2 linked regions of the Arabidopsis thaliana genome follow. The protein of the gene in region 1 interacts with the protein of each later gene in a biochemical or structural test. Each region holds a gene or a part of one and is shown on either strand. Other genes may lie near its edges.

Region 1 (4,795 bases):
AAACCAACTTTTTCGTTTAAAGTTTCTTGAAGTCTAGGATTCTTATTGACTGGAATGAAAGTAGAAGCATGATTTAAAGTATTGGATGCCTATTTGAGGGGCTCTAAGTGTAACCATATAATGTGAGGATAGATTCTAGTCATAGTCCCACTTTTGGTAACTATTCTTCTTTATCTTAATGTCCACTATATTTACACCATATTAGCTCTTGATGTCCACTTTTGGTTGCTTAAAAGAATACACAGCAATATATCAACAACCAAAAGTGGATCAACAAGACTTATCACTGTCAGGTAAATGAAATTGGGCCAAAAGAAGATAAAAACTATTCTCTTGATAAACCAAATGAATACAAACACACCTAGTGTTTTTGATGGTGACCAGTTAGAGCAAAAGCTACAATACTATGTACTATGAATATAAATAAAACGTGGGGAGTGACCATGCTGAATAAGAAACTTATCATGTTCTCTCTTGACCAACCCGAAAAGTGGTGAACTTAATTCCCATTGGCTTGGAGGTTTCAAAATCATATTGCAAGTTGTTGGCTTGTATGGTAGACAGCCAAAGGATTGGATATTTATGTGATAATGTGATAGGGAGAAAATTAAATGTTCAGTGATAGGTCCCCTTCTCACTTTTCTCTGGTATTGTCATCATTTAAGTGGAGCACTGTTTTGTCTATTGGTCATTTGATCCTTTGCTTCTTTTAAGAACCAAATTGGTTAAACAGTAAAACATAAGGTTTTTTTTCTTACTAGTATTAGAAGAGGAAGTAGAACATTACTACAACAAGAATACAAGTAGAAGTTAGTACAGAAGTGAAAAAAGGGTTTGCATAGGAAAACGACAGAACATTAAGAGAGGACCCAGGACAGGTGTTCCTGTGCCTTAGGAAATTGAAAGATCCTTTTCTCTTTCCGGGTCTTTTGTTTTACATCTTCTTTTTTCCCCTACAATATCTTAGTTCTACAATTTTAGGCTTAGTTATACTTATAGCTAATAAAAAAGGGTACAAACTTTTGCCATTTTTTCACTTCTTCATGAGACAATCTCAATCCCCAAAAGAGAAACAAGGACTTGTAGATTTCTCAAAATGGAGCTGTGGAAGACCGTTGAAGTGTGTTCTTTTTGGGTTGCTGAATTGCTGCAGCCATTTTTAACTGCACACACACACACACATAATAAACACACAACTGAAGTATCAGAATCTAACCACCCAAAATGTCATTGGACAAAAAAGTGTGTAAAACAAATATACTCCAGAGGCTGTCTGTCTGTCTCTTTTTATAAGTTGGTTAAACTACAAGGAATTGATCTAATGACATGAGTGCTACAAAAGGGTAAAACATTAAGAACTTGGCTCTGCTTGTTTACCTGATCTTGTTGTCTCTTGAGTCTTGCATTTTCTGCCTGCAAGTGAGCAACTTCAAGTTCTAACTCGTTTGTATAAGCCTGCAAATGAGAATCAAAACCAAGAGACCTTTTTTTAGATCAAAAGCAATTTGATGGCAAAACCACATTTCTTTTCTTCCCTTTTTGATACACATGAGTAGAAGAAGATTAGGAGGGAAGAGGAGAGGCACATTCCTGTTTCCTAGCGCGGGAACGAGCTGCAGATTCTCTGTTCTTGATCATACGCTTATGTCTTCTATTCCCTGAACCTTCATTGGAATCTTGGCCTCTTTTCTTACCAAAAGAACTGGATGGAACCAGAGCCTCGAAAGAGGTGTTGAAGGCATGAGCGTTTGAGAGGTGATGGTGGGTATGAAGATTAGAGTTTGAGGTAACAAGAGGATCTTGGTTATCGAGAAACTCGAAGCCAGCGCCGGAATTCAAGCTCAGAACAGTTGCAGGAGGTGGAAAAGGAGAGCTGTAAAGAACAGTGACCGTGGTGGAATCGCCATTAGGCGCAGAACCCGTGGTCTGGCTTGTGGGTGCTGGTTCCTGGTTCAAAGATCCTTTGAGAAAATCTTGGAAGATTGAGTTAGGGTTTTGGTTGTGGTGGTTTTGGCCCCTGAACCTTGGCTCGTGGTTGTGTTGTGGATGAGGGCTGTGTCGGTTTAGGTGGTGGATGGAAGCAAGGTTGATGTCATTCCAAACTTCTTCCATGGTGACAAGAGATCTCTTCTGGGCTTGAGAGTCTTGAGAAGGTAAAGGAGATGATGATGAGGTTGATGATGATGAAGAAGAAGACGATGGTGATGAGGATGAAATGGAAGAAACTTTGGTGAGAGTCTGGTTCTTGTTTGTAGCAGAGAGTCTATGGTTTCTCTGATGCTTAGCTGATGACAACATTGGAAAAGAGAACAGAAGTGAACCAACAACACAGCTTTAGTCTTTGGTTGTCAATTGTCTAGTAGTATCCTACACGCAGAGAGGGAGTAGAGAGAGAAAGTGGTGAGAGCTCAGAGAGAGGTTCTTGACTTTAGCCGGTCATTTCTGGAATGATGGGGTTGGGTCCAAGACTCCAGAAGAAGAGACAGAGGGATTGAACTATTTCCAATTAAATAATATATTTCAAGAAGAAGAAGAGAAATTCCATAAACTATTATATGTAATTAAAGGTGTTTGTTGATGTCTTCAACGTCAGAGTTATTATAAAGATTAAAAATGGTGTTTGATTATTTCAAAAGTGAAGTATTTTTCATCATCCTTAAATGTAAAGAGTGAGTGGGGGTGAGATGCTTGTAAAAAGCCAGGCAAATATATAAAATTATTTTTGGTTTTATCTCACTTTCTATTTTCTAATATCAAATCCCTTTGGATCACTTTCAACTTTCATGTGTGACTTTAATTTTTGTTCTTGCTCTTAGATTTAAGGAAAATTTGCCAAAATACACTTTTTTCCCCTAAGGGTATTGACGAAATAAAACATTAAAAACAAAATGAAAGTAGATAAGAATATATACATCTTTCTGTATTAGAAATAATTAAATAAATTCGTTTAAATATATAATAAAACACAAAATCCTAACTACTATACCAATAAACTCAAATGTAAAAATTTCTTCTGTTTTTTTTTTGTTTTTGGCAGCAAACATTAATTCCGTTAGAATATTTCATTCCTCTTTTCTTGATGTGGTTAATATATTTTAAACGAAGATAGAATAATATTATCGAATATAAAAAGTAGTACTTGGGTGTTCGTATATGTAATTTGTTTCTATCAAAACTAAAAGTCTGAAAATTATATGTTTGATTAGTACAAAAAAACTTTATTTTATATGAGATTCGGAGTGTTTAAGAACGGGTCATTTGCACTTAACGTTTTCTTAAATATGTAGTTGCAAACATTTCAAATAATATCGACCGTATAGTTGAAATGCATTTAAATAACAAAAATATTGTTAACTATTGAATTGTTCCCCACTTCAAATCATTGGTGTTCATGTCATCCAACGAGATTTGATCAAAGTGTCAATAGTCTGTTTTACAATACGGATAGGGAAATCAATTTATGTGGGTCTCCAACTCTGAACAAAACAAACATTACAAGTGGATAGTAAAGTATTAGATTTTATATGACCAATATAGTTTAGATATTTATGTTGATTGTTTTGAAGATTAGAGACGAATACTAAACTAGTTAATAATTAAGCCAAGTAGAAGATGATACATATTAATAAATCTTTGATCATACGTAATAAACAAATAATATGAGTACCATCCAGATATCTAGATATTCGATTATCGTATCTACTATGTAAGTCAGTCTCCAAGTGCATATCTAGTCACGCTTTTCAAATTTTTCCTTTATTGCAAGTTGATTATATATAAACTATAATAACATACGATATTTGTTTTTCTTTCCTCTTCTCTTATTCTATTCAACAAGATTAACTATTCATTTCCGTACATGTATATAATTTTTTTTCTCTGAATGTTGAAATCAGCCCTCAAGGAAACGTCCCATCTTTTGAACATGCAAAGAGTACTACATTAGGAGCTGTTTATCGAAAATGCAAGCTCCTCAAATACTCATATTTGTTAGAAGATATATATTTTCCATTTGTTGGTGAAAAGTACAAAGACTTTAATTTGTTTACATGTTTCCAAACATTGGGTTTCAAAATACATTTTGAGTTTTTAATGTGAAACACAAATTTCATAGATCTTTGTTGTCGTTTCGCAACCACCAAAAATTCGAATGTAAAGAGTAGTACTTTTGTTAGTATCGACGTCACTACGCATATTCATTGACGAAAATAAAACAAATTTTCCCAGTCTCAAATCATTTTTGCAAAATAAACTCAAAATAAAGTTGGGGTATAGTCTGTAACGAGTGAATTCAAATGTCCATTGTATCATAAAATTGTGCAGAGAACTTGTAAGTTGTATAAGAAAGGAGTGTGACATGTCACGTCTCAGGGGATTGGACAGGTGTCAGCACTATATTGCTCTGTCCCAAACTCCATCAAATCTATTTCTCTGTCTTTTAATATCCTCTTTAGTTTACTTTTAAACAATGCATATAAATGGAAACAAATTCTGTTTTAGCAAGTTATATAAAATTTTCCGGACTATCATACAACATGAAATATGCCTACCAAAAGTAGTAAGTGCAAAATAATTCATTGTTTTATATATCTCGATTTCCTACAATTATAAAACATTGTTTGGTGGTGAAGAAATAAAATACTAATTACATCTCTATATATTTAGAGACGTAAAAGGGTTTAAGATAGACTCGTTGGCTTGAAAAAAGACTCGAACTCGGTGGACAAGTGATTTGATTTGATGAAGAGACAAATCTCAACTTGTTTTTAATTATTCATGTTCGTTTACATTCAAA
Region 2 (5,774 bases), on another chromosome or scaffold:
GATATACTATAAACGTTTTATTCATAAGTAAAAGACAAGTGGCAGATACGTTAAATTTTATAATAGAAATAAATTAGTTAAATCTTAAAAAGTTGCTGAAAATAGAAAGCAAACTACTTATCTTAAAGCAAACGTAAGTCTCTTTAAGAAGAAATACAAAATGAATATATATCGGATTAAATCAAAAAACAAAAAGATACACTTTTGTTTTTCTGAACAAATGAAAAATGATATACACAAGTGGCGGACAATCCATCTATCTCATTTTAGCGAACAATTAATCTTGTCTGCGACTGCGACCTATTTTTTTCTACATCACATCTTTTGTTTCGTATGAACACTAACATGATTGAATGACAAAATTTACTAACAATTCTTATAGTACTGAGCTCTCCTGTCCAATATTTAAAAATGCATACATTTTTTTGTGTGTAACTAAAATTAGTAGAAAATAAATGCTAGTCGTTAAAAAGTGCATATAGCAGATTTCGAGTTTTTTTTAATTGCGATTTCGATTATCAATGGTCGATCGTAGACGTCTTTTTTAGTAAACAAATCTGAAATTTCTATGAAGGTTACCAAATATTTTGGATTTCAACCTAAGATGAAGTTAACCTATGGACGTGTAGAACAGTGGCTGAAGTCTGAAATGATAAGATAAAGTTCAATATGAATACATTACTGAGATGTTACAAAAAACTACATCACTGAATAATTCCTTTATTTTCCAGTTTGGACAGTAGAACCTATCGCTAATTATTTAATTACCAATTAAAAGAAAAAGAAAGAATAATTCCTACAGTTGTTAGGCTATGGTTATAAGTTTCATCTTTGAACTTAAGAAATGCTCTAATTAGTGGTAATGGTAGTTACATCTATATATGTTGATGCAATGTCAAAAAGAAAATCTCTCAAATTAGCAAATCCATACCTATTTATAGACGCATAAGTATATATACCAATTATCCTGGTCGTGCAAATGGATGGTTAGTATTTTTACAACCAAACTAATGTCTAATTTTAAAAAGTAATCATTATTTTGCTTTAGATTTTTAATAGTTAATATTATATGTATAGATAGATTACCGTATGATATAATTGTTTCAAGACACTAGATACTATCTCAATTATAAAACTCACTTTTCCATAATATGGCCGCTTGTTTATAAAAAAAGAAGAGAAATAAAACAATTGATTTGGTTTATATTATTTAATTGCAGATATCTTGTACTTAATTCATTTTGAGATAATTTTGCGTATTTGAGTTCGGACATTGGTAGGTATGGACGATGAAAATAACTGCCTTCATTCTACATGTTTGAGATTTGTTTGTCGACCATATAACACAAGCGGCTAGAAAAATAGGTGACTATTCTCAAATGTCCTGGTTCTATCTAACCTGAAGGATCCCTTGTTCTACCTGGTATAACTACAAGAAAAGGCTGTTTTATAAAATATATCATTTCTTCTATGATTTCTATCTCAACTTTTTTTTTAGTTTTTTTCTTTTAGAACGTTTTCGCTTTCGAATTTTTTAAGAATTTTTTTTTTCTTTATATCTCTAAATAATAGTTTTAAAAACATAACAAGTGATACTGTAATTTTTTTTTCTCTATAAACTTGGCGGTACCCTACTTTTTTCTTATTTTTATTAATAATCTTACTTTGTTATGATAAATTATGTTAATATATGGCAAAACTAAATATATATGAAACTACTGATTACTCATTATCATAATTAATATCTTTGTATAAAAGTAAATAATATTTAGTCGAGAGAGGTATCTTGTTAAAGGAAATAAATCAAAAATTAGTGGCTACCAAGTGGGAGATATAATTTGGAATATTTCCAGTGTATTAGTGTGGTGGGTTTGGAATACCACAAACAGAAATAAAAAGAAAGAAAAATATGAAATAAGACGACAATGTGTGATGTACGTAGAATCAGTTTTAGATTCTAGTACATCAATAGACAAGAAAAAGATTGTGGTTATGATTTCACCGACCCGAGTTAATGCAAATCCGAAACAGTATAAATATGTGTAGAGGGTTCATGCCTATGATACAAATTAAAGAAGCAGAAACAAAAACAAGTAAAACAGAAACAATCAACACAGAGAAACCACCTGTTTGTTCAAGATCAAAGATGTCTATAAATATAAGAGACCCTCTTATAGTAAGCAGAGTTGTTGGAGACGTTCTTGATCCGTTTAATAGATCAATCACTCTAAAGGTTACTTATGGCCAAAGAGAGGTGACTAATGGCTTGGATCTAAGGCCTTCTCAGGTTCAAAACAAGCCAAGAGTTGAGATTGGTGGAGAAGACCTCAGGAACTTCTATACTTTGGTTCTTTCACTTGAACTCCCTTTTGTCTCTTTTCTTCTTTAGTTTCTTCAGTGCTTCTTACACCTTCTTTTTTAAAATAGAAATTATTTTCCTTTTTTGGGGTATACTGAAAATATTTCTTGGGCATGCAGAGACCTTGGTTAAAAATGCCCCACGCTTTCCTTTTCTCTGTTTTTTTATGATTTATTTGGTTTTACTTTATGATACCCAAATCAAAAACTAATTTATATTTCATTTCTTTTTTCATGAAGATGGACCCATAAAATATTTCTTCCTATCCTAAATTAAATAGAGATAAATTTATGATCTATCCCAAATTTTTTCCACCAACTTCTTGCATAAGTGATTATTATTTAGGATAAGAATCTTGGGATTTTTCTTTGTTCCTCCTACCTAATAATTTAATTTGCATTTGTTTTTTTTTGTTTTTTTTTAAGTATAATTTTTTACTATACTTTGAAAATGGCATTTTTGAAATATCCTTTTTGCTAATTAAAATATCTGCAAAAAGATATAGAAAATTGATGTTCATTAAAACAAATATATATATTGATGAATCTCTGTTGTGGAATATTTGAAAACTGTTTGAATAAGGATATTCTGATATTCAAGCCAGCCTTTAAGATACTCTCTGCTATATATAGACATGTAGCTACTACCTTTTTTCTATTCATAGTTTTCTTCTTCTTTCTTGTGTTATCTCATTTTCCAAACTTCAAAAAAGAAAAAGAAAAAAAGACCTTTTGCTTTCTTGATTTCTTTGAAAATGATAATCTTATCTTCTTATAATTCTTCGTCTTATTTGTTTAATGAAGGTTATGGTGGATCCAGATGTTCCAAGTCCTAGCAACCCTCACCTCCGAGAATATCTCCATTGGTTTGTGCACTAACTCAACTCTTTAATTAATTCACTTTTAAGTTATAGCATAGCTCAAACATGTTGCTCGAATTATATATATAGACACTCAACTACACATGTAAAACTGGACATGTATTTTGGATACTTTGAAATTGAGTAGATCACTTATAACTTAAGACTCAAACATTTTACATTTAATAGAAGGAGACATATAAAATCAACTTCGAGAGTGCGATGCATCAATTTGTCTCCCAAAAAAGCCCACACCCAAGCTAAATTGACATATTTTGTTCAAAAACTTTACTATGTGTAATGTAAATATGTATTATGTATGTCTGTGTATTTTACTGATCGCACATAGATTCTATAGAATGTATAGGACGTGACTTGAACTAAGATTTGTTTTTTTCACTTTAAAGTGGTCTTTGTACGGGAATATCATTGAGCTTAAAATAGCCTGATGACATCATCATTGTTCCTTGAAGTGAGCAGGACTAGGTTTCCTGTTATATCACTTTTTATTTTTATTTATATATTCATGCACTTGAATGTTATTGCATGTTTTGCTAGTCACTTGCACTAGTAATCTAGGAATTAGTTACGTTGCTATTATTTTTTTGTAAGAAAATAAAGTTTAAGTAGCATTTCAATTCTGTCAAAAAAAGAAGTAGCATTTCAATTATGTTGTGGTGCCATAGCTTAAACATGTGTATGGCTATCTCTCATTACAGGTTGGTGACTGATATCCCTGCTACAACTGGAACAACCTTTGGTGAGTTTTATTCTATATATTAGATCGCTAGGTGTTAGAAATATAGAAAGGTATATGAAATAGCCTAATTAATTAGTTACTAGCTAGAAAATTCACATGTTTTGATGAACTTTTTATTTTTCAGGCAATGAGATTGTGTGTTACGAAAATCCAAGTCCCACTGCAGGAATTCATCGTGTCGTGTTTATATTGTTTCGACAGCTTGGCAGGCAAACAGTGTATGCACCAGGGTGGCGCCAGAACTTCAACACTCGCGAGTTTGCTGAGATCTACAATCTCGGCCTTCCCGTGGCCGCAGTTTTCTACAATTGTCAGAGGGAGAGTGGCTGCGGAGGAAGAAGACTTTAGATGGCTTCTTCCTTTATAACCAATTGATATTGCATACTCTGATGAGATTTATGCATCTATAGTATTTTAATTTAATAACCATTTTATGATACGAGTAACGAACGGTGATGATGCCTATAGTAGTTCAATATATAAGTGTGTAATAAAAATGAGAGGGGGAGGAAAATGAGAGTGTTTTACTTATATAGTGTGTGATGCGATAATTATATTAATCTACATGAAATGAAGTGTTATATTTATACTTTACGTGTATTCATTTCTTTTCGATGCAAAAATCAGGCAGTGGGAAGAATCTGCTGTTTTACTTTTGGGTTCCATAATACACTTTTTTGTGTTGCTACTAAAGTACTGATAATATCCAAGTCGATCATTATATATCAAACTAAAGAGTTTGCATTCAATACATAAGCTAGAAAAGTAGAGCAATATTTTGGTTTTAAGTTTATGGGCTCACGTATGAAGAAACACATGTGTAAGATCGAATCCTAGGATCAAACCTTAATTATTAAATCCTTGAAAGGTAAACATATGAAGTATTTATACATTCTGAAGATTAATTACTAATGGACTTCGACGTTAGATCTTGTTCCCATGATAGAAAAACGTTTTTTTTTTAATTTGGGATAAATACGAGGAACAACTTAAGCATTTATGTTTTATTTAAAAGCGGTTTAGGCGGTTGTATTGGCTCCGTCTAGACGTTATGCTGTCAAGTTATGGTTAGATCACTGATTCAACGCCTAAAATAGTATAAGTTTCGATTTAATGTATTTTCTATTTTAAAATTAAATTTGAGTTTAAAACTAAAAATAAAACACTTTAGACATCCAAAAAAAGGAAGTGTCTTTCTGTAGTTAAACTTTAAATATCCATAAACTCTTTATGAACGTAGATGGTCTTACTGTCTAATGCTTTCTTGAACATTGATAGCCATCGTTCGATGAAAACGCTCTCCTCCAAGCTGATCAACGATGACATTTAAACGATCTCGAACCCCTTTGATTTTCTTTTATTAACATTTTTTATTGATTAGTAAATTGTGACATAATTATATATGATACAAGAAATTATTGATACACGTGAAAATTTATTAACAGTTGGAAGATAACTCTGACTATGAACCATTTCATTTTAAGGTTCTGTGCATTCAACCGATATATTTTTTGCGTACTTCCACATATCCACTCAGAGGAAGGTCTATATTTGATATAGAATGAAAGAGTAACACGTAAAAGGCTAAAAGTCAAATGATATAGTTATATAAAAAAAAATAAAAAAAAATTAAACATCAGCCATACAAGAAGGTTACAAGAATCTTATGCTCGTAAACGACATCCATGATTATCTAAAACAAAAATAGCATGAGATGAATACTTTGCGTCCCAAAAACTGAAAGTGTCTAGTTTTTATAAAGCAAAGTTATTTAGAGATAAAAAGCAATAGAAGTT

Evidence for each region. Proteins that work in one complex are often made in the same cells at the same time.
Region 2: the proteins of FD (region 1) and FT form a complex in vitro, tested with the Arabidopsis thaliana proteins (one study listed by BioGRID).

What each region holds. Positions count from the first base shown.
Region 1 is NC_003075.7:17,002,249-17,007,043, reverse strand, and holds FD (Basic-leucine zipper (bZIP) transcription factor family protein), read right to left. Parts: upstream 2,523-4,795; 5' UTR 2,299-2,522; coding exon 1,591-2,298; coding exon of another isoform or gene 1,564-1,590; exon of another isoform or gene 1,456-1,563; coding exon 1,378-1,455; intron 1,164-1,377; coding exon 1,092-1,163; 3' UTR 736-1,091; downstream 1-735. UniProt on the Arabidopsis thaliana protein: Transcription factor required for the transition to flowering promoted by FT.
Region 2 is NC_003070.9:24,329,364-24,335,137, forward strand, and holds FT (PEBP (phosphatidylethanolamine-binding protein) family protein), read left to right. Parts: upstream 1-2,009; 5' UTR 2,010-2,014; coding exon 2,015-2,347; intron 2,348-3,162; coding exon 3,163-3,224; intron 3,225-3,937; coding exon 3,938-3,978; intron 3,979-4,102; coding exon 4,103-4,326; 3' UTR 4,327-4,636; downstream 4,637-5,774. UniProt on the Arabidopsis thaliana protein: Component of the mobile flower-promoting signal (floral stimulus or florigen). Promotes the transition from vegetative growth to flowering. Required for 'SEPALLATA3' (SEP3) and 'FRUITFULL' (FUL) accumulation in mature rosette leaves.